Linked DNA regions of Stegostoma tigrinum. The protein of the gene in region 1 interacts with the protein of each later gene in a biochemical or structural test. Links are inferred from orthologs where the notes say so. Each region holds a gene or a part of one and is shown on either strand. Other genes may lie near its edges.

Region 1 (7,678 bases):
GTCATTAGAAGACATGATGGCAACGAGTTTTAGGAGAAAGGCCACAGCCTGTGCAAATGAAGGCAATGTGATAGAGAGATCCGGAGACTTGCAAGACCAAAGTTATAAGAATGCTCATGTTCTCAAAAAGGCATTGGGTCAAAGAAGCACTTGCCCAACAGCAAGTTTCTCTTCACAACAAAAGCTCCACCCCTCGAATGAAATGTTAGATTTTTTGACTAATCATTGCAGTCCCCCCAATACACATCCTGGCAAGCAAGTTATCACCAAAAAACGTCAGCTGTCATGTTTAACCACTTAAAAAACCTAATTTTATAAAATGTGTCCCCCAAAAATGTACAGTAGGTATTTTGATTTGCTACAATTGCACCAGACATTTGAAAAACCACTTGAGGCACAGCAAAGTCTTACCACATTAACTCCATTAAGGCTGCTTATGAGAAACTTTTGGGCCTATGCCCTCTGGAGTTGAAGCATCACTGGAACTTTAACAAATATGATTCTGAAAGGCTTGACAGGGTAAACTTCTGAGTGTTGTTTCTCCTGGCTCAGGAATCTAAAACAGACCATACACTCAGGATAAGGGCTGACCATTTAAGGCTGAGATGAGGAGAGATTTTCCAGGGTCCTTGGGAACCCTTCATGTCATCTCAAAACCAGTCTCCCCAACCTGCTTCAGGCTGCACCCAATCTCAGCTGTGCAGTACAGCCAGTAGGCTCCACACAACTGCAGGTATAGTCAGCCTATCTCAAACCAGCAACCTTAACAACCTTCGGCCCCTCTACGAATTAACTCATACCAACATCCCACAGAGCTCACCAAGTCCTAATCTCAACCACAGTATACCACTCAGCCCCACACCCTTCAGAGATTCACAGTCAGACTCAAAAAGCAACCACAACAGCTCAGTGTCTACCAGGTAGTGACACACTCCAACAGCAGCACCCTCCCCACAGAAACTCGCTTCCACAGGGGGAAACCCCTCCAATAGGGAAGATCATGAGATCCACTAAATCTGTTCTGCCATTCAATACACATCATGGCTGATCTCCAGCTTCATCTCCACTTTCTTGCTTCTCCCCAGATCACTCAATTAGCTGAGGAATCAAAATTGTCGGTTTCAGCTTAAAAGTATTCAATGATAGGGACTCAATCCTCCAAGTGGAGAAGGATGAAGTTCTTAGTCCCAGAAGAAAAAATCGTCTTATGCTAAAACGGCACTCCTGTGTTTTGGATTCCTTGAACATCAGTGACCTTACCCCTCAGAGCCTTGAATCATTAGATCAATGGGCAGCATGGTGGCTCGGTGATTAGCAGAGCAGCCTCACAGCACCAGGGACCCGGGTTTGATTCCAGCCTGTGCAGAGTTTGCACATTCTCCCTGTGTGTCTGTGTGGGGTTTCCTCCCACAGTCCAAAGACGTGCAGGCTAGGTGGATTGGCCATGCTAAATTGCCCATAGTGTTCAGGAGTGTGTGGGTTATACAGGGATGGGTCTGGGTGGTGATGCTCCAAGGGGTGGTGTGGGCTTGTTGGGCCGAGGGGCCTATTTCCACATTGTAGGGAATCTAATCTTCTATATGTCACAGAACTTAAACCCAGTTTGTTCAGCCACTCATCATACAGCAACCCTTTAATCACAGGGACTAATGGAGTGAACCTTCACTGTACTTCCTATGTGGGCACACCTTTTCATTAACACTACTGTAGGTATGGCTACAGCATACCTGTACAATTTTAACAAGGATTCTTTTTCCCTATTCATGACTCCAACTTGGAATCAAATCCAACATGCCTCCCCAGCAGTGATCCCCTTTCAGCACCATCCTCAAGTTTCTACAGTACTTCACCTCCCAAGAGGAATCCATGCTTATAGCCGTGCCACAGAAATCTACCCAGTCCTATTTGCCCCTGTCTAATATCTACTCTTGCAGTCCCCCACTAACAAGTCTTTCACCAAAGATTCAAACTCAATACGCTCAGGGTCCCCAATTACTGACATTCCCCACAGGGATCCTTACTGCAGACTCTCACAGACAAGGACCCACAGCCAAACGCCACCACAGAACGGGTTCCACTAGCACCCAGGCATTACAGTGGCTCAGTGGTTAGCACTGCTGCCTCACAGCGCCACAACCCAGGTTCGATTCCAGCCTCGAGCGACTGTCTGTGTGGAGTTTGCACATTCTCCCTGTGTCCGAGTGGGTTTCCACTGCTTGCTCTGGTTTCCTCACATAGTCCAAAGATGTGCAGGTTAGGCGGATTCGCCATGCTAAATTGCCCAGTGTTCAGGGAGATGTAGATTTAGGTGGGTTACGGCGGGGGGGGGCTAGCTGGGATGCTCTGAGGTTCGGTATGGATTTGTTGGGCCGAAGGGCCTGCTTCTATACTGTAGGCATTCTTTATCTATCAGCATCCTCTTCCTTCATTCCCTCCAGCCTTCCTCCACCTCCTCGGCAGGGAGTCACACCCCCACCCGGGGGAAAGAATAAGGATCCACAATCCCAGCTCCTGTAGCGGTCGCTTTCGCCCGCCACAGCCATCCCCGGCCCCGGCAACCGCGGGGACCCACCTTCGCGCAGCACCTACCTCCCCGCCCTAACACCTACACGCCATGATCCCGCACCGAGTTGAGACGACTGTGGGATCCTTTTCTACTCACCCGTATAATGAACAACGCAGGTCTGCCCAGCCTTGGGGAAGGTTTGCCCTGAGAGAGGAAAGACGCAGATTAGACTCGGCGACTGCTGCATTAAAAACAACAGCCCGACCGCAAATAAAAACACTCTCCCTCCCCCGAAACGCAGTAGACCAGGCCTCTCATCCATGCCCCTGCCCAGGGTGAAGTTATCGCCATGGGGAAATTGCTTGGTAACGCCATACCATCTCCGGGGGTGATAGTCTCCACTTGCACTCCCATGGCTTCGCTCAACAACGAGCCTGACGATCAGCCTCCTCCTCCCTCACGCCGAGGACTCAGAGGGGCGGAGCGCGCGGGCTGCTACGCGGAGCAATCAGAGCTCTGCTTCTGACTGACTTTCGCCAATTAGGAGCGAAAGGCTGACCACCAGCGCCTAATATGGGCAAAGGGTAGGCGGGATCCCGCTTCACCAAACGCCCGGATGAGGAGTCGTTGGACGGGGATTTCGAATCGGATTGGTTGGCCGGCATGCGCCGCCGCAGTGGGCTCTCCTGGAACATTCTGGAAACCTGAGGCTAGATTTTGCGGTTGTTAGTCCTTCGTTGCAGGTTTTGTCTGTAAAGTCCAACTGCGTTTTAGTCCGAGACGTTTCTATCGATGAGGTTTCGATATTTTCTGTTGAAGTAAGGCAGGTAAAGTGAAAGACCCAAACATGAAATAAAAAGAGAGTAAAACATAGAACTGCGGGTTTTGGAGATCTGAAACAAACAAACAAAAACCTGAAAAGAATCTTTACAGGAGCCCCGCAGATCTGTGGAGGGAAAGTATATAATATTTCGAGTCCAGTGATACTTGTTCCGAGATAAACGAATGCAGTTTCTGTTTTCAATTATTCTGTGCGAAACTCAGCAGCATCTGCAGAGAGAAGCATTAATGATTCGACTGTGGTATGAATAAGAGCTGGAAAATACAAGTTGAAATGCATGTTCTGATTAAACAGAGGGAATGGACTGAGTGGCTGAAGTTGTTACTCCACAATTGTGTTTCAGTTTACTAATGTATGTGAATAGCCTCAACAGTGAAGCCCAATGCAAATTGGAGGAATTTGGAATAGGGCAGTTTGTAACTTTCTGGACTCAGCATTGTGTTGAAGCAACTTATCGCATGAACTTTATCCTCCATTTGATACCCCATTACAACTGATCTTTTGATGTTTTTGTTTTCTACTGTTATTGGTTGCTCAATGAGTTACCTTTAATATGTACCTTCACGTTGTAAAACAAATATTAGGTTAAAAATGTGTAAGCTAGAAAATGCATGTTTACATTTTGTACAAACATTGCTGCTTTTATTAAAAACAATACATGCACTATTATTTACAGCTGCAGTTTACCCAAAAACCATAGAACACACTGTCAAGAAAATTATCGCTCATGAACAGAAAATATGTTCTGGTTTGGTCAGTTTAACTCTAGTGGAGGGGAAGCTCCTTGAAACAATTATCTGGCTTACAATTAGTCACATGGAAATAGTTGCGTTCATTTGTAAGAGTCAGCATGGATTTCTGAAGGGGAAGACATGTTAGACTAGCACACTGGAATTGTTTTAAGGTAATAGGTTTGATGAGTCCAATGTGGTTGATGTGATGAACATGACTTCCAGAAGGTATTTGATGCAGCACCTCACAACAGACTTTACCATGATTATTAGCCATAGGAGAAAAAGGACTGGCAATCATGGATACTAAATTGATTGCATGATTGGAAACAAGGTGTAATAGTAAAAGAAGGCAAAAAACTGCAGATATCGTAAGAATTGCAGATGCTGGAGTCAGAGATAATGGTGTGCGGCTGGAGGAACACAGCAAGCCAGGCAACATCAGAGGAGCAGGAAAGTTGATGTTTCGGGTTGGGACCCTTCTTCAGAAAAACCCAAGCCAAAACCACCACCTCTGATGTTGCCTGGCTTGCTGTGTTCCTCCAGCTCCTCATCAAAGAACTGCAGATGCAGGATATCAGAAACAAGGACAGAAACTGCTGGAAAAAATTCAGCAGGCCTGACAGCAACTGTGGAGAGTTGATGTTTTAGGTCCAGTGACTCTTCAGAATTGACTGTAATTGTCCGTGGATATGTTTGAGGTTGTAGACATGTCACTGAGCAGATGGGTTTGGTTGCAAATGTTTTGTTACCCTGCTAGGTAACATTGTCGGAGTGCCTCCGGTGAAGCATCGGTGTTCTGTCCTGCTTGTTATCTATATGCTTCGGTTTGCTGGGGTGGTTGATTTTACTTTTTGTTTCTCAGTGAATTAGATCCTGTGTACAAACCAATGTGTTTGTGACTGGAATACCAGGGTTCCAAAAATTCCCTGGTGTGTCTGTTTGGCTTGTGCAATTTTCGATGTGTTGTCCCTGTTGAATTCATATCCCTCCGTGTTTGTGTCGCGTGACCAGTGAGAGTTGGTCAGTTTTCTTCTGGTTTGGCCCATGTAGTGTTTATTACAGTCCTTGCATAGTATTTTATATATCACCTCAGTTTTGCTGGTTTTGGGTATGGGATCTTTTACGTTCGTCAGTAGCTGTCATAGGTGGTTGTCCATTTGTAGGCTAGTCTGATACCTAGGGGTCTGAGTAGTCTTGTGTTCATCCTTGAAATATTCTTGATGTATGGTAGGGTGATTAGTGATTCTGGCCATGTGGTTTTTTTTAAAGATTTAGAATTCGAATCCCTACAGTGTGGAAACAGGCCCTTCGGCCCAACAAGTCCACACAGAACCTTGGAGCATCCAACCCGGACCCATCGTACGCCTCCCTGAACACTACGGGCAATTTGGCATGGCCAGTCCACCGAACCTGCACATGTTTGGACTGTTGGAGGAAACCGGAGCACCTGGAGGAATCCCACACAGACAGTCGCCCGAGGCTGGAATTGAACCCGGGTCCTTGGTGCTGTGAGGCAGCAATGCTAACTACTGTGCCACCGCGCTGCCCCGAATCTTGTTGTGGCCTGCCTCAGAGGTAACAGCGGATTGTGCTTATTGCGTATTCATTTCTTTTGAAGGCTCTGTGTAAGTGTTCCTGTTCTGCTTTGCATAGTTCTGACACGCTGCAAAGTCTTGTGGCTCATTTAAATAGTGGCCTGATGCAGCTCCGATTATGGGTGTTGGGGTGGTTGCTAGTGTAATTGAATATTTGGTCCATATGTGTGGTCTTGCTATATACACGAGCCTGGAGTTCCCTGTAGTTTTTGCATTCTACGATTATGCCCAGGTAGGGTAGTCAGTTGTTTGTGAATTTTATCCCGGTAAGGATGTTGTTTATTGGTGCGTTTCTTCTTTGTGTGTTTGATGATCACAAATGTGTCATTTACATATCAGACCCAAAGTTTGGATTGTATAGTGGAGAGTGCTGTCCAATCAGTCCTGATATTGGGGATCCCTTTGGTCTTCCATTGATTTGTTCATGTATGCTGTTGTTGAAGGTAAAGTGGGTTGTGAGGCACAGCTATAGTAGTTTCATGGTGGTGTCCTTATTGATGTTGGTGTGTTGGGTTGCTGGCTTGCTTGATTCGTCCAGCAGTGTGGCAATTCTTTCTTTGGCTAGATCAATGTTTATGGATGTAAATAGTGCTGTTACGTCAAAGGATATCATCATCGCATTCTCTTCTATCCTGGTGTTCTTGATGATGTTGAGGAATCCTTGAGATGAGTGGATGGAGTGGGTGGTATTGTCCACTAAGTATTTTAATTTTTGGTGTAGTTCTTTGGCAAGTCTATATGTTGGTCTACCTGGCAGTGAGACAGCATGTCTGAGGGAGTCCTTAGGGCGATCCTGGGGAATCCGTAGAATCGGGATGTGTTGGATCCCTCTGGCTTCCTCTTTTTTTTTTGGTAGCCTGTCTTGCTGATGTCTCCTGAGTTGCGTAATTTCTTCAGGGTCATTGCAATCCGCTTTCCTAACTTGGTGTTGGATATATTGCCATCTGTTGGCAGGTGTTAGTATATTCTACTAGACCATTAGCTTTCTCAATGTTTTGAGCTTTGTTGAGGATTACTGGCATGCATCTTTTGCCTGCCGGTAAGTTCACAATGTTACTGTCTTTCTTGAGTCTTTGCAGGGCTTTCTTCTCTTCTGTGTTGAATGTGTTCCATCTTCCTTTTGATCTTTGATTTTCCTGATATATATATCAATGATCTAGATTTTTGTGTGCAGGAGACAGTTTCAAAATTTGCAGAGACATGAAACTCAGGAGTATTGTAAGCTGAGGATGGTAGTTTAGAACTCGAAGTAAACAAATTGGTGAAGTGGACAGATAGGTGTAGATGACGTTCAATATAGAGAAGTGTGAGTTGATACATTTTGACAGGAGGAGCATTGGAAGACAAGAAAATAGAGGGTACAAGTCTAAAGAAGGTGCAGGTACAGAAGAACTTGAATGTATATGTGCACAGATCATTGAAGGTGGCAAGGTAGGTGCAGAGACCAATTGATAATGCACATGGTCTTCTGGGCTTCACTAATTGTGGTTTGGAGTACACTAGTTAGTGTTAGAGATAATGTTGAACTTGTATATGATGCATTTTAGGCCTCACGTGGAGAATTGTGTATAGTTGTGGGTGCCACATTACAGGAAGGATGACAAACTTCAGTTATGAGGATAAACTGAAGAAATTGGGATTCTTTGTTCTCTTTGGAATGATGAAGAGATCTGATAGAGGTCTGCAAAATTAAGAATATACTGTAGACAGTGGAGGAGAAATTGTTCCCACTTCTAAAAGGAACAAGAACTAGAAGACATAGATGTAAAGTGTTTGCAAAATGAACAATATGATGTGAGAAAAGTGTTTATACGTGGTGAGTACAGTATTTGGGAAATGGCATGTACTGCCTAGAAGTGGGATGCAAGCAGGTTTAATTGAAACATTCAAGAGGGCATTCAATGACCAAATAGATAGAAATACATAGGGACAGAAAAAAAGCAGGAGATTGGCATTAGGTAATAATGCCCAATTGACCATTAGTATAGACACCATCGGCTGA
Region 2 (7,152 bases), on another chromosome or scaffold:
CGTGCAGGTTCAGTGGAATGGCCTTGCTAAGTTGCTCATAGTGTCCAGGAAGTGTGGGCTGTATGGTTTAGCCATGGGAAGTGCAGGGTTACAGGGATAAGCTAGGAGTGTGTTCTGGGTGAAATCTTTTTGGATGGTCAGTGTGGACTCAATGGGCTGATCAGTCTGCTCCAATGCCTGAGGGATTCTATGATTCTGAGGCAACTGTAACATACCACCAGAACCCATCGTAACAGAGATTATGCTGTTCAAAGTAGATTAAAAATATCACTGTTACACCCTTGCCATACACTGGAAAAGGCGCTGCAGTCACTCCAAAGATGCTCCCGGACGTGTTGAATTTTCCCCGCAATTTCTGTTTTTGTTTCTAATTTCCAGCATCCACAGTGCTTTAGGTTTGTTTTATTCCAAATTATCTTCTCCAAGAGCTTAGTAAGGAACACAATATCTTGTTAGTGACTCCAGCATCTCAATTAAATAAAATACTCTGAAAGAATGATTCTGCCTTGTGAACAGCAGTGAGACAGAAATCTCCAATTAAATTGCACTCTCCCCATTTAACCCGCTAATTTCTACAACACTTAAGCATATATTTTTGTTTAGTCTCATATAAGTGCAGTGCTTCCACTATCAGATTAAGAAAGAAACGTAATTATTTCTCAGGGCATATATGTTCAAGACTTAAGTTTCGGTGCTTTTCACTTGTGGAGATGGAGGGCAAGGGTTGTGATGCTAATGTCTGATAAAGGAGGATGCAGGCATACTCAAGCACCATCTTCCCAATTTTTCTTGACTCATTGATGACATGTAGGGATCGCCAGTAAGTCCAGCATTTATTGCCCATCCCTAATCACTCTTATGAAATGCGTGGCTTGCTGGGCCATTTCAGTGTGTAATTATGAGTTAACCACATTGCCTTAAGGGCAGGTGTCATGTGTAGACCGGATCAGGTAAGGATGGCAGATTTTCTTCCCTGAAGGACACAGCAAACCCAATTTACAATAATTGGCGATGTTTTTAGGGCACCATTACTGAGTAGCTTTCCTAGATTGTATTAATGTGTGCAGCTGTGTAGAATTTCAGTTAGGCCACATTGGGAATATTGTGTATAGTTCTGATGCCACAGAAGGATGTGAACACTTTGGAGAGGGTACAGAAAAGCTTCTGAGGAAGGGTCACTGGACCCGAAATGTTAACTTTTTTTTTCCTTCACAGATGCTGCGAGACCTGCAGAGCTTTTCTAGCAACTTTTTGTTAAACCAGCATGCTGCCTGGTTTGGAGGGTGTTTGCTATGAGGGGAAATTGGACAAAATTTGCATTTGAACTTCGAGGCTAAAGAGTGACCTGACAGAAGTTTACGAACTAAGGACAGGCAGGGGTAGAATGGATAAATGGAATTCTTTTCCCTCAGATTAGAAATTTCAACTATTAGGAGACATAAGTTTAAGGTAAAGGGGGGGAATTTGAAGGAGATATGAGAAGCATTTTTTTTCACAGAAGGTGGTAAGTGCCTGGGGAGACAGCCAGAGAAGGTGGTAGAAGTGGATACAGGAAGCATCTTGACAGAAACATGAATCGGTTGGGAGGAAATGGGGGATATTTACTGAGCAGACAAAAAGATTTTTAATTTAAAAAGGCGTCATGTGTCAGCGCAGGCGTTGTGGGCCGAAGGGTCTTTTCCCGAGCTGTATGATTCTTTGAGTGAAATTTGAAGCCGTCTTTACATTGGACTGTCCCAATGGCACTGAAACTTCACCACGGTCTAAGTGAAGTTCGCATCACCTCAACCTTACAAAGAACAAAATTAAAAGCTGCTACTCCTGAGTATTTCTCTTTCTCTCCCTCTGTCTCTCTGTTCCCAGAGCCGCTGAGCAGTGCGTGGTGTTACAATCCCTAGCGAGGGGGGAGTACTCGATACAATGCACCTGTTGAGCGAGTGTGCTCTGCCAGTCCGTATCGCTTACAGTCCAACTGTGGGGCGGCACATTCCGCACATAGACCACAGTCACCTCTCCAAAAATAGGCACCGCCGCTCTAGCACTGATGAACTTCGAGCTCTGTATCGCTACCTCTTAGCTGGGGAAAGCCCAGTCAGTGCCTGAGGAAATCCAGTTTGTGTAAGAGTTAGCCTGAATTAAGTCTCCACAGCTCTGCTTTCGGAAACCACCGTCTTCCACAGATGCTACCATGCGCCACTCGTTATAACTTCGAACCTGATCTGATTAATGTACATTAAAAAAATCATTTGCCCTGCCTGTTAACCAAATCTGCTGCGTGACAAACTTCAAGCCGGTGTTAATGCATTACCTCGGTGGATAAAGAATCTTTGCTGAGATAATCTCCCAGAGGCAGAGAGGAGAGAGTTCAAGAAAGACGCTGTAAAAGTTCACGGCACGGCATGATCCCAACGGAATGGGAATTTATTGTTGGTGTGTGACAGAAGCGTCCAGAAATAGGGTTGCGCCTATCACACCAGGGTAGGGCGAAGAAGTTCACTAAAGGCGAATACAATTAAATGTAAAACTGCTCGGCTGTCCGACAATTTCTCACTACATTCCTGCAGCGCCGGAATCTATGTTTGCTGGACAGCATCAGATCGAACGACTTTAACCGCTCAAGGCGTCAGACTGCTAACGAGATTGGAGGCAAGAGACAGGAGTTGCTGGAAAAGCTCAGCAGGTCTGGCAGCATCTGTGAAGGAAAAAAAAGAGTTAACGTTGCAACCCAGATGAGTTCTGAAGAAGGGTCACCGGACCCCGAAATGTTAACTCTGATGTTTTTTTTCTTCGCAGATGCTGCCAGACCTGCTGAGCTTTTCCAGCAATTTTTGTTTCTGTTCCTTATTTACAGCATCCTCAGTTCTTTCGGCTTTTATTTAGATTGTGGGCAAGTCGTTTACTCACAGTTCGGAGGAATTGAATTTCATCTTCCCCTTCAGTCCCTTCAGCCATGGCTGTTTGAAGAGCCGGCTCCGCTCACACGCTGGACCCTTCGTTCCCTCTGCTGTCAGCACACGGCTCCTGTTCCAGTATTAGCGTAGACCGATCCATATACATCCTTATAGGGGAGGCTGGTCACGCCGAGTGCTATAGTAACCCACTGTCAATCAGCCCACTGTCCCTACCCCTGTGCCTGTCCTTCCATGGCAAATTCCGACAGCAGCAACGTACACTCCGTGTTGACTTTTTCACATTAAGGGGGAAGTTGTCGGTAATCCAAATATAATCCCAAAATCCACTCACTGCAGAGTGAAGATAACACGCTGTTCTTTGTTACTATTTATGATCGAGGCACCTCGCTCGCGATGTTATCGGTTATTAAGGAACAAAGACGGTCAACACTATCTATTGCATGGGTTGGCAAGTTCAGCACTTGTTTACCGTCCTTAATAGCCCATGAGTAGGTGGGTGGGTGAATTTCTTGAACGGCCACGGTCCCCAGGAGCTAGGGACACCCACAGTGCAGTTAGGGAGAAAGTTGTAGGATTTTGACCCAGTTAGTTCCAGGTGTGCCCTTAAATTTCTCCACAGTAAAAGTCACTTATGTCAACTAATTGGAGCCTAGGAAAGTTGCTGCAGTTCATCTTATAGACATGATCAAAGCTGTATGTGAGGATGAGCGAGAGGCGAGTGACGCTTTAAGTTACAAGGTGTAGAGCTGGATGAACACAGCAGGGCCAGCAGCATCAGAGGAGCAGGAAGGCTGACATTTCAGATCTAGACCCTTCTTCAGAAATGGGGGAGGGGAAGGGGCTTCTGAAATAAATAGGGATAGAGGGGGAGGCGGATAGAAGATGGATAGAGGAGAAGATAGGTGGAGAGGAGACGGACAGGTCAAAGAGGCAGGGATGGAGCCAGTAAAGGTGAGTGTTGGTGGGGAGGTAGGGAGGAGGTAGGTCAGTCCACTGAGTACGGACAGGTCAAGGGGGTGGGATGAGGATTGTAGGTAGGAAATGGGGGTGCGGCTTGAGGTGGGATGAGGGGATAGATTAGATTACCTACAGTGTGGAAACAGGCCCTTCGGCCCAACAAGTCCACACCGCCCCTTGAAGCATCCCACCCAGACCCATCCCCCATAACCCACACACCCCTGAACACTACGGGCAATTTAGCATGGCCAATCCACCTAGCCTACACATCTTCGGACTGTGGGAGGAAACCGGAGCACCCGGAGAAAACCCACGCAGACACGGGGAGAATGTGCAAACTCCACACAGACAGTCACCCGAAGCAGGATAGGTGGGAGGAAAGGCAGTTTAGGGAGGCGGAGACAAGCTGGGCTGGGTTTGTGATTTTAGTGGGGGGAGGGGAGATTTTGAAGCTTGTGAAGTCCATATTAATACCATTGGGGTGCAGGGTTCTCAAGCGAAATATGAGGTACTATTCCTGCAACCTTCGGGTGGCATCATTGTGGCACTGCAGGAGGCCCAGGATGGACATGTCGTCCAAGGAGTGGGAGGTTCACTTGTCGAACAGAGCGGAGGTGTTCTGCAAAGCGGTCTCCAAGCCTCCGCTTGGTTTCCCCTAACAGGGGAACATCTGCTTGATGTGGAAGGTCTTCTTGGGGCCTGGGATGGGGGTGAGGGGGGAGGTGAGGGGCAGGTGTAGCACTTCCTGTGGTTGCAGGGAAAGGTGCCGGGTGTGGTGGGGCTGGAGGGGAGTGTGGAGCGGACAAGGGAGTTACGGAGAGAGTGGTCCCCCTGGAAGGCAGATAAGGGTGGGGAGGGAAAAATGCCTTTGGTAGTGGGGTCAGATTGCAGATGGCAGAAGTGCCAGAGGATGATGCACTGGATCTGGATGTTGGTGGGGTGGTACGCGAGGATGAGGGATATTCTGTTTTTGTTGTTGCAGTGAAGGGGTGGGAAGGATGAGTTGCAGGAAATGTGAGAGACATGGTCAAGGGCGTTTTGACTACTGTGGAGGGGAAGTTGCGATTGTTGAAAAATTAGGACATCTGGGATGTCTGGGGGTAGAATGCCTCATCTTGGGAGCAGATGTGGCGGAGGTGAAGAAATTGGGAATAGGGGATGGTATTTTTACACAAAGCTGGGTGAGAGGAGGTATATTCTAAGTAGCTGTGTGAGTCAGTAGGCTTGAAATGGAGAGAGATAATGGGAACTGCAGATGCTGGAGAATTCCAAGATAATAAAATGTGAGGCTGGATGAACACAGCAGGCCAAGCAGCATCTCAGGAGCACAAAAGCTGACGTTTCGGGCCTAGACCCTTCATCAGAGAGGGGGATGGGGAGAGGGAACTGGAATAAATAGGGAGAGAGGGGGAGGCGGACCGAAGATGGAGAGAAAAGAAGATAGGTGGAGAGAGTGTAGGTGGGGAGGTAGGGAGGGGATAGGTCAGTCCAGGGAAGACGGACAGGTCAAGGAGGTGGGATGAGGTTAGTAGGTAGCTGGGGGTGCGGCTTGGGGTGGGAGGAAGGGATGGGTGAGAGGAAGAACCGGTTAGGGAGGCAGAGACAGGTTGGACTGGTTTTGGGATGCAGTGGGTGGGGGGGAAGAGCTGGGCTGGTTGTGTGGTGCAGTGGGGGGAGGGGACGAACTGGGCTGGTTTAGGGGTGCAGTAGGGGAAGGGGAGATTTTGAAACTGGTGAAGTCCACATTGATACCATATGGCTGCAGGGTTCCCAGGCGGAATATGAGTTGCTGTTCCTGCAACCTTCGGGTGGCATCATTGTGGCACTGCAGGAGGCTCATGATGGACATGTCATCTAGAGAATGGGAGGGGGAGTGGAAATGGTTTGCGACTGGGAGGTGCAGTTGTTTGTTGCGAACTGAGCGGAGGTGTTCTGCAAAGCGGGCACCACCCAAGACATTTTTCCATCCCCTCCCCTGTCAGCTTTCCGGAGAGACCACTCTCTCCGTGACTCCCTTGTTCGCTCCACACTGCCCTCCAACCCCACCACACCCGGCACCTTCCCCTGCAACCGCAGGAAATGCTACACCTGTCCCCACACCTCCTCCCTCACCCCCATCCCAGGCCCCAAGATGACATTCCACATTAAGCAGAGGTTCACCTGCACATCTGCCAATGTGGTATACTGCATCCACTGTACCCGGTGCGGCTTCCTCTACATTGGGGAAACCGAGCGGAGGCTTGGGGACCGCTTTGCAGAACACCTCCGCTCAGTTCGCAACAAACAACTGCACCTCCCAGTCGCAAACCATTTCCACTCCCCCTCCCATTCTCTAGATGACATGTCCATCATGGGCCTCCTGCACTGCCACAATGATGCCACCCGAAGGTTGCAGGAACAGCAACTCATATTCCGCCTGGGAACCCTGCAGCCATATGGTATCAATGTGGACTTCACCAGTTTCAAAATCTCCCCTTCCCCTACTGCACCCCTAAACCAGCCCAGTTCGTCCCCTCCCCCCACTGCACCACACAACCAGCCCAGCTCTTCCCCCCCACCCACTGCATCCCAAAACCAGTCCAACCTGTCTCTGCCTCCCTAACCGGTTCTTCCTCTCACCCATCCCTTCCTCCCACCCCAAGCCGCACCCCCAGCTACCTACTAACCTCATCCCACCTCCTTGACCTGTCCGTCTTCCCTGGACTGACCTATCCCCTCCCTACCTCCCCACCTACACCCTCTCCACCTATCTTCTTTACTCTCCATCTTCGGTCCGCCTCCCCCTCTCTCCCTATTTATTCCAGTTCCCTCCCCCCATCCCCCTCTCTGATGAAGGGTCTAGGCCCGAAACGTCAGCTTTTGTGTTCCTGAGATGCTGCTTGGCCTGCTGTGTTCATCCAGCCTCACATTTTATTATCTTAGGCTTGAAATGGATATCGGTTTCGAGGTGCTTGCCAGACATGGAAACAAAGAGGTCCCGGAAGGCAAGAGAGGTACCAGATTTGGTCCAGGTAAACTTAAGGTTGGGGTGGAAGGTGTTGGTGAAGTGGATGAGCTGTTCAACTCCTTTTTAAGTTGTTGCTCAAGATGGCTGCTTTGTTTGGATGGTGTCAAGCTTCTAGATTGTTGTTGGAGCTGCACCTATGCAAACAAATGGAGGGCATTCCAATGCGCTCCTGACTTGTGCCTTGTAGGTGGTGAGCAAGTTTTGGAGAACCGCATTGCTTGCTGTCCGTTTCACTCACGAACTGAACAAAAGGCTTAATTTACACAGTGATAGAAA
Region 3 (7,689 bases), on another chromosome or scaffold:
TTCTATTGTCAAAATAAAAAGATGAGGATGGCTTGCATGTAATACATTAGCATCCCTATCAAGGGTTGGATACTATAAACTTGGGCTTTGCCCATAGGCAACATTCAGGTTGTTCATCAGAAATCAAAACAAATACATGTTAAAATCGCTTGCATGTGTTTGAAATGACACATGACTCAAACACACAGCATAGCTTGCCCATTAGCCCTTCTGAAAATCAAAGCTTTCCAGATTGGAAGGTTACAAAAGCAAAGAAAGTTGAGAAAATTTGAATAGCCAAGCTGAATCCTTCTAGTTTTTAAGCTTTGGAGGAAGGCAAGAATGGGATGGAAAGCAAAATGAAAAGGATGAGTAAGACAACACTGGAAAGAAAGAAGGGCCTTCTTATGATTGCGGATTTGAAAAGAGATCTTGTTTTCTGGTTTGGGCTTGTATTTTTTTTTCATGCAGGGCCTACAGTTTTGGGTATGAGATTCATACTGTGTATTGGACATTAAAATTCTGTAAAATCATTTATCCCACTTTGGTTTTGATGTAATACCAAGCTATACTGTACAGGTACATTTCTGGGGAGAGCTGGAGTGCTATTCTGTATGTACCCATTTCACAGTGTATATTGAACGGATCAGGCAAGAAAACTTCCCACCATAGTACTTCTTCACATAAATGAGCAAGACAATGGAAATCAAAAGTTTAGCTTGCAATATTTATTATTTACAGTCTAAAACTCTTCATATTTTCAGCTTTGCTTCATTTGTTGCACAGACTGCACACCCAAACACTGCAATTCTGCCACACAAACAGCTTTCTCTACCTGTCAACATGGAGACAACCTCCTGCCTTATCACAATTTTCCATAATGCTGAAATGAATCATCGAATTCCCAGTGGGGAAGAAGCAAGTCATTCAGCCCATTGAGCCCATACCAAATCTCCGAAAAGCATCCCACCCAAACCCACCCCACCCCCTAAACTATCCTTGTAACCCCGCATTTCCCATTGCTAATCTACCCAACCTCCTCAACCCTGGACACTACTGGCAATTTAGCATGTCCAATCCACCTAACCTGAACATCTTTGGAATGTGGGAGAAACCTACACAAACATGAGGTGAATGTGCAAATTCCACACAGATAGTCACCCAAGTGTGGAATCGAAACTGTGAGGCAATAGTGCTAACCACTCAGCCACTGTGCGCCCAATTGCATATGGCTAAGTTTTTTGTATGCTACGCTTCATAAGGAGGATTTTATCGTGGATTTAGGATAGTAGAATTTTCTTATTTAGTGAAACAGCATATCATTGATGATATTTGATTCTGGCTCAATGACTTCGGGTGGCTGTAGAGTTGCTACAGTCTAGTGTCTTTGCAGTAAATAATACAGAAATGAATTGAAAGGCTTAAATTTTAAAAAATAAGGTAGCATAGTTACTGAAAATGTTTGCCAAATTTGTTCAGTTCAGTGTACCTTTGATGATCATCATTGTCTCTTTGGACTTAATAAAGTTGATTTAAACGTGAATGCACCCACTTGTCATTCAATGCCATTCCTGAATACTTTGGAAAACAAAGTGCACTTATCAACTAAATTGCCTACTCTCAAACTAACTTTTTTTTTCAATATTGAGTGGTACATATTGCAAACACTCAGTTTCCTATATCACAATGCATTAAAACTTGAAGCATGACAGCATTGATTCTAATGACTGGAAGGAGCTTTTCACCAATTGCTATGTTGGGCAGCACACTGACTAAGTGGTTAGCACTACCGCTTCATAATGCCAAGGACCCAGGTTCAATTCCAGCCTCAAGCGACTGTGTGGAGTTAGCACATTTTTCCCACGTCTCCATACGGACTCATAGGTCAAATAGCCTTCTTCCACACTGCAGGAGATTTTGTGAATCATTCAAGATGGCAACAACTGGTCCATCAAACTGCATAATACTTTATGTTCAAATGCCTTAAAGATGAGGAAGATCAGTAGTAGAGGAGGGGGAATAAAAAAAACAACAAATCCTGCACTCCAGATCTCATCATTTCAGGACCGTAAGAGGCAAAATGCCCAAAAGTCAAGAACTTTCTTGCTTGTTTGCTTGAAAAAAACTTGTGATTTTAAGTAGATGTTATCTTGAATCGGAGGCCAGCAAACAATATCCAATTACACTATTGCAATAAAAGCCAAAAGAACTTCAGATGCTGTAAATCAGGAACAAAACCAGTAGGTTCTGGAAAAGCTCAGCAGGTCTGGCAGCATCTGTGAAGAAATCAAAATTAAGTTCTGAGTCTAGAGACCCTTCCTCACAACTGACAGTAGCTGCGGAAAACATCGGTTTGTAGGGAGAATATAGGGAGGGTGCCGGGGTAGGGAGTAAACAAAGGATAAAGGATACAGCCCGAAGAAAGAGAAGAGCAACTGGATAGACAAAGGAGTTGATAACGATTAGGCTGGGTTCAATGACTAACAAACAGGTAGTGTGAAATGAGGTAACAAGGTGTCTAGAAGGTGCGTTCATCCAGCTCCACACCTTGTTAACCCTCCGCTATTTCTTCTGGATCTTGAGTGGGAAGTTGGAATCACTTTGGTATTGTCACTGTCTTAGGTGTGAGACTTTGAATGAGAGTGCTGCACGTCGCAAACACGCAAGAGGGGTTACAGCCAGGAGTGAGTTGCAACTTCTTTGCCAATTCATGTGAGAATAGACTTAAACAGTGGATGGATTTACGATTGCAATTAGGTTGCGCATGACATCAGCAAGTAATCTAAATCCCCTCCAATCGACTCAGCCCAAATAATAAAAAATCCATTTTCCACTCGTAATAGCTGAAGATACAGACGGTAACATCAGCGATCCCCCGCCATGTCTGACCGGCTGAGACACACGTGCCAACCGTTGACGGTTGGGTTTAAACAGCATCGTACTATCCCACTTACCTTCACGACGCAGCTGCGCAATATCCCCTTCAGCAGGCGCACTTTCAGGACGCAATCCTACGTTGGAAGGGGGACGGATTTCCTTTCGATCACGTGATACTATGTGGCCACGCCTCCCATGGTTCCCAACTATTAACACTCAGAGATAATGGGACCTGCAGATGCTGAAGAATCCAAGATATCGAAGTGTGGAGCTGGATGAACGCAGCATCTCAGGAGCACAAAAGATGACCCTTCATCAGAAAAAAGGGTCTAGACCTGAAACGTCAGCTTTTGTGCTCCTAAGATGTTGCTTGGCCTGCTGTGTTCGTCCAGCCCCACACTTTGTTATCAAAACCCTCAGGTTGTCTGTCAATACATATATCTCTGTATTTAAAAATCTGCACCGTGGAGCAAATGACAGCATACTCTAGTTGCTGGAAACCTGATTAAAATCAACAGAAAATGTTGGATAATAAGGTACTCAGTAAATCTATGAACCAGAAAGGCAATTGAACCATCCATTATAAATAATCTGTAATGCAGGAGCAGTTTAGAGGGAATGATGGAGAATTGTTTACCAACCAGAAGGCACAAGTCAGGACTGTGACAGAATACTCTCCATTTGCTGTGATGAATGCAGCTCCAGCAAGTTATAGGAAGGATATAGTCAAGCTGGAGAGGGTTCAGAAGCGATTTATCAGGATTTTGCCAAATATGGAAAGTTTGAGTTATATGGAAAGGCTGTGACTTTTTCAGTGGTGCATAGGAGGTTTGAAAGGTAACCTGAAAGAAGTTTATAAATAATGAAAGGTATAGATAGACTTCATGGTAGTTGTCTTTTCCTTGGGATGGCCATTTCCGGATTAGCGGACACATTTTAAGCTAGGAGGAGAGAAATTTTAATCACACAGCATGGTTCATGTGTGGAACGAACTGCCTGAGGAAGTGGCAGATATGGGTAGAATTACAACATTTAAAAGACATTTGGATAAGTACGTGAATAGGAAACATCTGGAGGGATATGGGCCAGGAGCAGGCAGGTAAGGCTAGTTTAGGATTATGTTTGCATGGACTGGTTGGATTGAAGGGTCTGGTTCTGTCCTGTATGACTCTTAAGACTCAATAAGCTTAACATTATTTGAAATTAAAGCAAATGCCTGATTGGCACCCCATTCATCACCTTGAAATCTGCTTCCTCCAACAAGGATGTACAGTTAATAGTAATGTGTAACTGATATAAATTGACTGCAGCAACTCACTAAACCTCCTGGGACACTCTTCAAAATCTTGAGCACTGCCATCTAGAAGAATAAGGACAACAGATGCATGGGAACGCTGCCTGAAAGTTCTCTTTCAAGTCTCAGACCATCGTGATTTGAAAACTATAGCGCCATTCCTTCACTGTCACTGGATCAAAATCCTGAAACCCCTTCCTTCAAAATCAAGAGCCATCTGGACAGAGCAGGTTGTAAAAGATGTTCCCAATATAGGAAAGATTGAGAACCAGAAAGCACAGAAGGTGAATGACTAATGTAGGCTGTCTGTCCTAAATTGGCAGATCCTATCACCTGGCAAATCTTTCAGCTGATCACGACAAGCAAGATACTGATTTGCCCAACCTGCAACATTGTGTCCAACATTAGATGTGGTTCTGCACTGGACAAAATTTGCTGGACAACTGTGAGTTTACAAGGAATTTCACTGAAAAACAAGTCAGGAATGTCACCTTTGACAACTGTCTTGAGTGTAGTCTCCTTGTTCTCTCTATGTCTGTGTCAATTTCCTCTAGGTGCTCTCGTTTCCTCCCACAGTCCAAAGATGTTCAGGCTAGGTAAATTGGCCAGCCTAAATTGCCTGTAGTGTCCAGGGATGTCGAGCTAGTAGGATTAGCTATGGGGAAATGCAGGGTTATAGGGATAGGATAGAGGGTCGGTTTGGGTGTGATGCTGTTAGGAGGGTCAGTGTGGACCCAATGGCCTACTTCCACACTAAGGATTCTGTGCTTGTCTGTCAGTCTTACAGTATGGTGCAGTTGTGTATGCAGGAGATATTAATATAAGACCTTGTTCTTTGCAGACAGAATATGTATATGTACTGTTTCTCAGCAGGGTGGCTCAGTAGTTAGCACTGCTGCCTCACAGTGCCAGGCACCCATGTTCGATTCCACCCTCGGGTGACTGTCTGTGTGTGGAACATTCTCCCTGTGTCTGCAGGGGTTTCCTCCGGGTGTTCTGCATTCCTCCCTCAGTCCAAAGATGTGCAGGCTAGGTGAATCGGCCAGCCTAAGTTCCCTGTAGTGTTCAGGGATGTGTAGATTAGGTGGGTTGGGCAGGGGGGTTTGCTGTAAGGCTCAGTGAGGACGTGTTGGGCCAAAAGACCTGTTTCCACATTCTAGGGATTCGATGAAAATAGGTGATAGCAATTCACTGGTTCATTTCATAGGACAATGCCCTGATCAATTAGAGTCAACCTGCCCTGTTAAAATTTAAACAGGCCCAGCAGTTAACTGTCAATTGTCAATCTTGCCAATCAACCAATATTTTCCTCTCATGCAGTAAAAATATGGTTTTTCCTTGAATTGGCATTTTTTGCAAATTGTACATAGAGTACGGTACAAAACTTTGAGAAGATATCTTGTTTTCAGTAATACCCAATTGTATGTCAGGATTGATATATTCGAATTAAAGATGTACTTGTTTGAAAATGATTTGAATCTGATTTGAAAATGTTTTCAATTCCTCTATCAAAATAACTTGTGTTTACAATCAAAATATGTAATGGGATGTCGTGAAAACATGTGGAAGTTGTTACATGTAAGAATGATGACAATGTTAAATTGTAGCAGATTGAGGACTTCCCTCATGATTCAGGGAATAAGTTGTTTGTTGTTTGCCCTCAAAATTGCAGTGACTGAATTGCAAGAATAGACTGTTTTGCTGTGAAGCATTTTGAGATATCCTCGCATATGAAGTTTTGTTTTCATCTATATTGCTCATTTATATCTAATATGCAGTAGTTTTATTTTACTAAATTTCTACACTTACTTGTGCCAGCAAATTTCCAGCATTTCAATGAATTAAAACCTTTTAATATTTCCTCACCTCTTTTCTTAGAGCAAATGAAAAATAAACAAATTCAGTACAAAGGGGACGCAATTAACATTAGAAGCAAATAAATTGTTGACCTTACAACATCAATATACTTTAATCTAACATAGTAATGAACTGTAAAAGATGCCAGGTATTTTGTTGTTAACTCCATTATCATTGACTAATTAGTCAAGTATTAAATTAAAAGGACAACATGAGTTAATAGGTTTATTTGCATAGCATTCTGTTTTAGATTATGTCCTAGAAATACATCCGGAATACATAAACTCATTGTAAGTTTCACTATAACATGATGTTTCTTTGGTATGTGGTCTTGAACTGTTTTAGGAAGCTAGCCATGGGCTACAAAACTGTGTACTAGCCAGTCCCTAGTAATGATTAGTGCCTTAGGAAAGATCTAGCAGCTGCTAGATTTTCTTCTTGTATAATAAGATTCAATTTTCATACTGTGACTGCTTCTTTGTTCCCAATAATAAATTATTTTCCTGTATTCTGACCATACTTTGTTTATAATTTTTGTTAACGTGAATTATACTGATATAAACTTTTTATTGACTGCTTATTCGCAGTTTGACAGCATGACATAATCCTTTTGTTCCTAAGGAGATCATTGGTAATTCAACTGGAAAACTAGTGCACACAGGTTTTACCTGAGTTTTTAAATGCATTTTATTTCAAACAAACATACGTTCTTGTCTAAAACCTAAACATTTTCAACATCAGTTAAATAAGTCATACATGTAACATTTCATATGTATCTCTTTTGACCCAAGCTTCAATGCTTTTAAATAATTTGAATGCTTTCAAGATACCATCAATAGATATTTTGCCTAGAAAAAAATCTCCAACAGTCATATGCTGGCAACAAATAACAAACATATCTTGCTACTTTTTAACTCACCTTTTGGCTGAGTTGGAGTTGGTTTTAACTCCAACTGGAATCTGACAACGTCCTGATAACACAGCTCCCTAAAATGCTGAGAGATAGCAAGAACTGCAGATGCTAGAGTCAGAGAAAAGTGTGGAGCTGGAGGAACACAGCAGGCCAGGCAGCATCAGGGGAGAGGTAAAGTTCAGAGGAAAGGGTCCCGACCCGAAACGTCAACTTTCATGCTCTTCTGATGCTGCCTGGCCTACTGTGTTCCTCCAGCTCCATACTTTGTTATCCCTGAAATGCTATTTCATCCAATCCTTTGATTGTCTATCTCTTCTCTGAATTTTTACAACTGCACCATCCCAAGTGGACAGCTGATTGAGATTTCACTTGTATAGTGATAATGATTCCCTGTTTTTCAAATTGGGTATCGTAAGCCATACAATACACTTGGAGAATTTGTATGTGCTTGAAGCCAGATGCTAAGAGGTGTTCAAAACAAAAGACAATGGTGCTTCTGAAGAAGTGTCTAGGCCCGAAATGTCAGCTTTCCTGCTCCTCTGATGCTGCTTGGCCTGCTGTGTTCATTCAGTTCTACACCTTGTTATCTCAGTGCTTCTTCTCCTTGATTTCCCTTCCTGTCGAAAACCAACCACTTTTTTGAAAGATAACAAAGTGTGGAGCTGGATGAACACAGCAGGCCAAGCAGCATCTCAGGAGCACAAAAGCTGATGTTTCGGGATGAAGGGTCTAGGCCCGAAACGTCAGCTTTTGTGCTGTCTGATGAAGG

The links. The genes of interacting proteins can lie anywhere in the genome.
Region 2: the proteins of peptidyl-prolyl cis-trans isomerase FKBP1A-like (region 1) and ryr3 form a complex in vitro, tested with the Homo sapiens proteins (2 studies listed by BioGRID). The link is inferred for Stegostoma tigrinum from reciprocal best matches to the Homo sapiens genes FKBP1A and RYR3.
Region 3: the proteins of peptidyl-prolyl cis-trans isomerase FKBP1A-like (region 1) and glmna form a complex in vitro, tested with the Homo sapiens proteins (2 studies listed by BioGRID). The link is inferred for Stegostoma tigrinum from reciprocal best matches to the Homo sapiens genes FKBP1A and GLMN.

What each region holds. Positions count from the first base shown.
Region 1 is NC_081372.1:6,545,539-6,553,216, forward strand, and holds the start of peptidyl-prolyl cis-trans isomerase FKBP1A-like, read right to left. Parts: upstream 3,017-7,678; 5' UTR 2,921-3,016; coding exon 2,884-2,920; intron 2,711-2,883; coding exon 2,663-2,710; intron 1-2,662. UniProt on the Homo sapiens protein: Keeps in an inactive conformation TGFBR1, the TGF-beta type I serine/threonine kinase receptor, preventing TGF-beta receptor activation in absence of ligand.
Region 2 is NC_081363.1:67,235,378-67,242,529, reverse strand, and holds the start of ryr3 (ryanodine receptor 3), read right to left. Parts: upstream 3,018-7,152; 5' UTR 2,953-3,017; coding exon 2,905-2,952; intron 1-2,904. UniProt on the Homo sapiens protein: Cytosolic calcium-activated calcium channel that mediates the release of Ca(2+) from the sarcoplasmic reticulum into the cytoplasm in muscle and thereby plays a role in triggering muscle contraction. May regulate Ca(2+) release by other calcium channels.
Region 3 is NC_081361.1:86,511,257-86,518,945, reverse strand, and holds the start of glmna (glomulin, FKBP associated protein a), read right to left. Parts: upstream 3,018-7,689; 5' UTR 2,934-3,017; intron 2,868-2,933; exon of another isoform or gene 2,527-2,867; intron 1-2,526.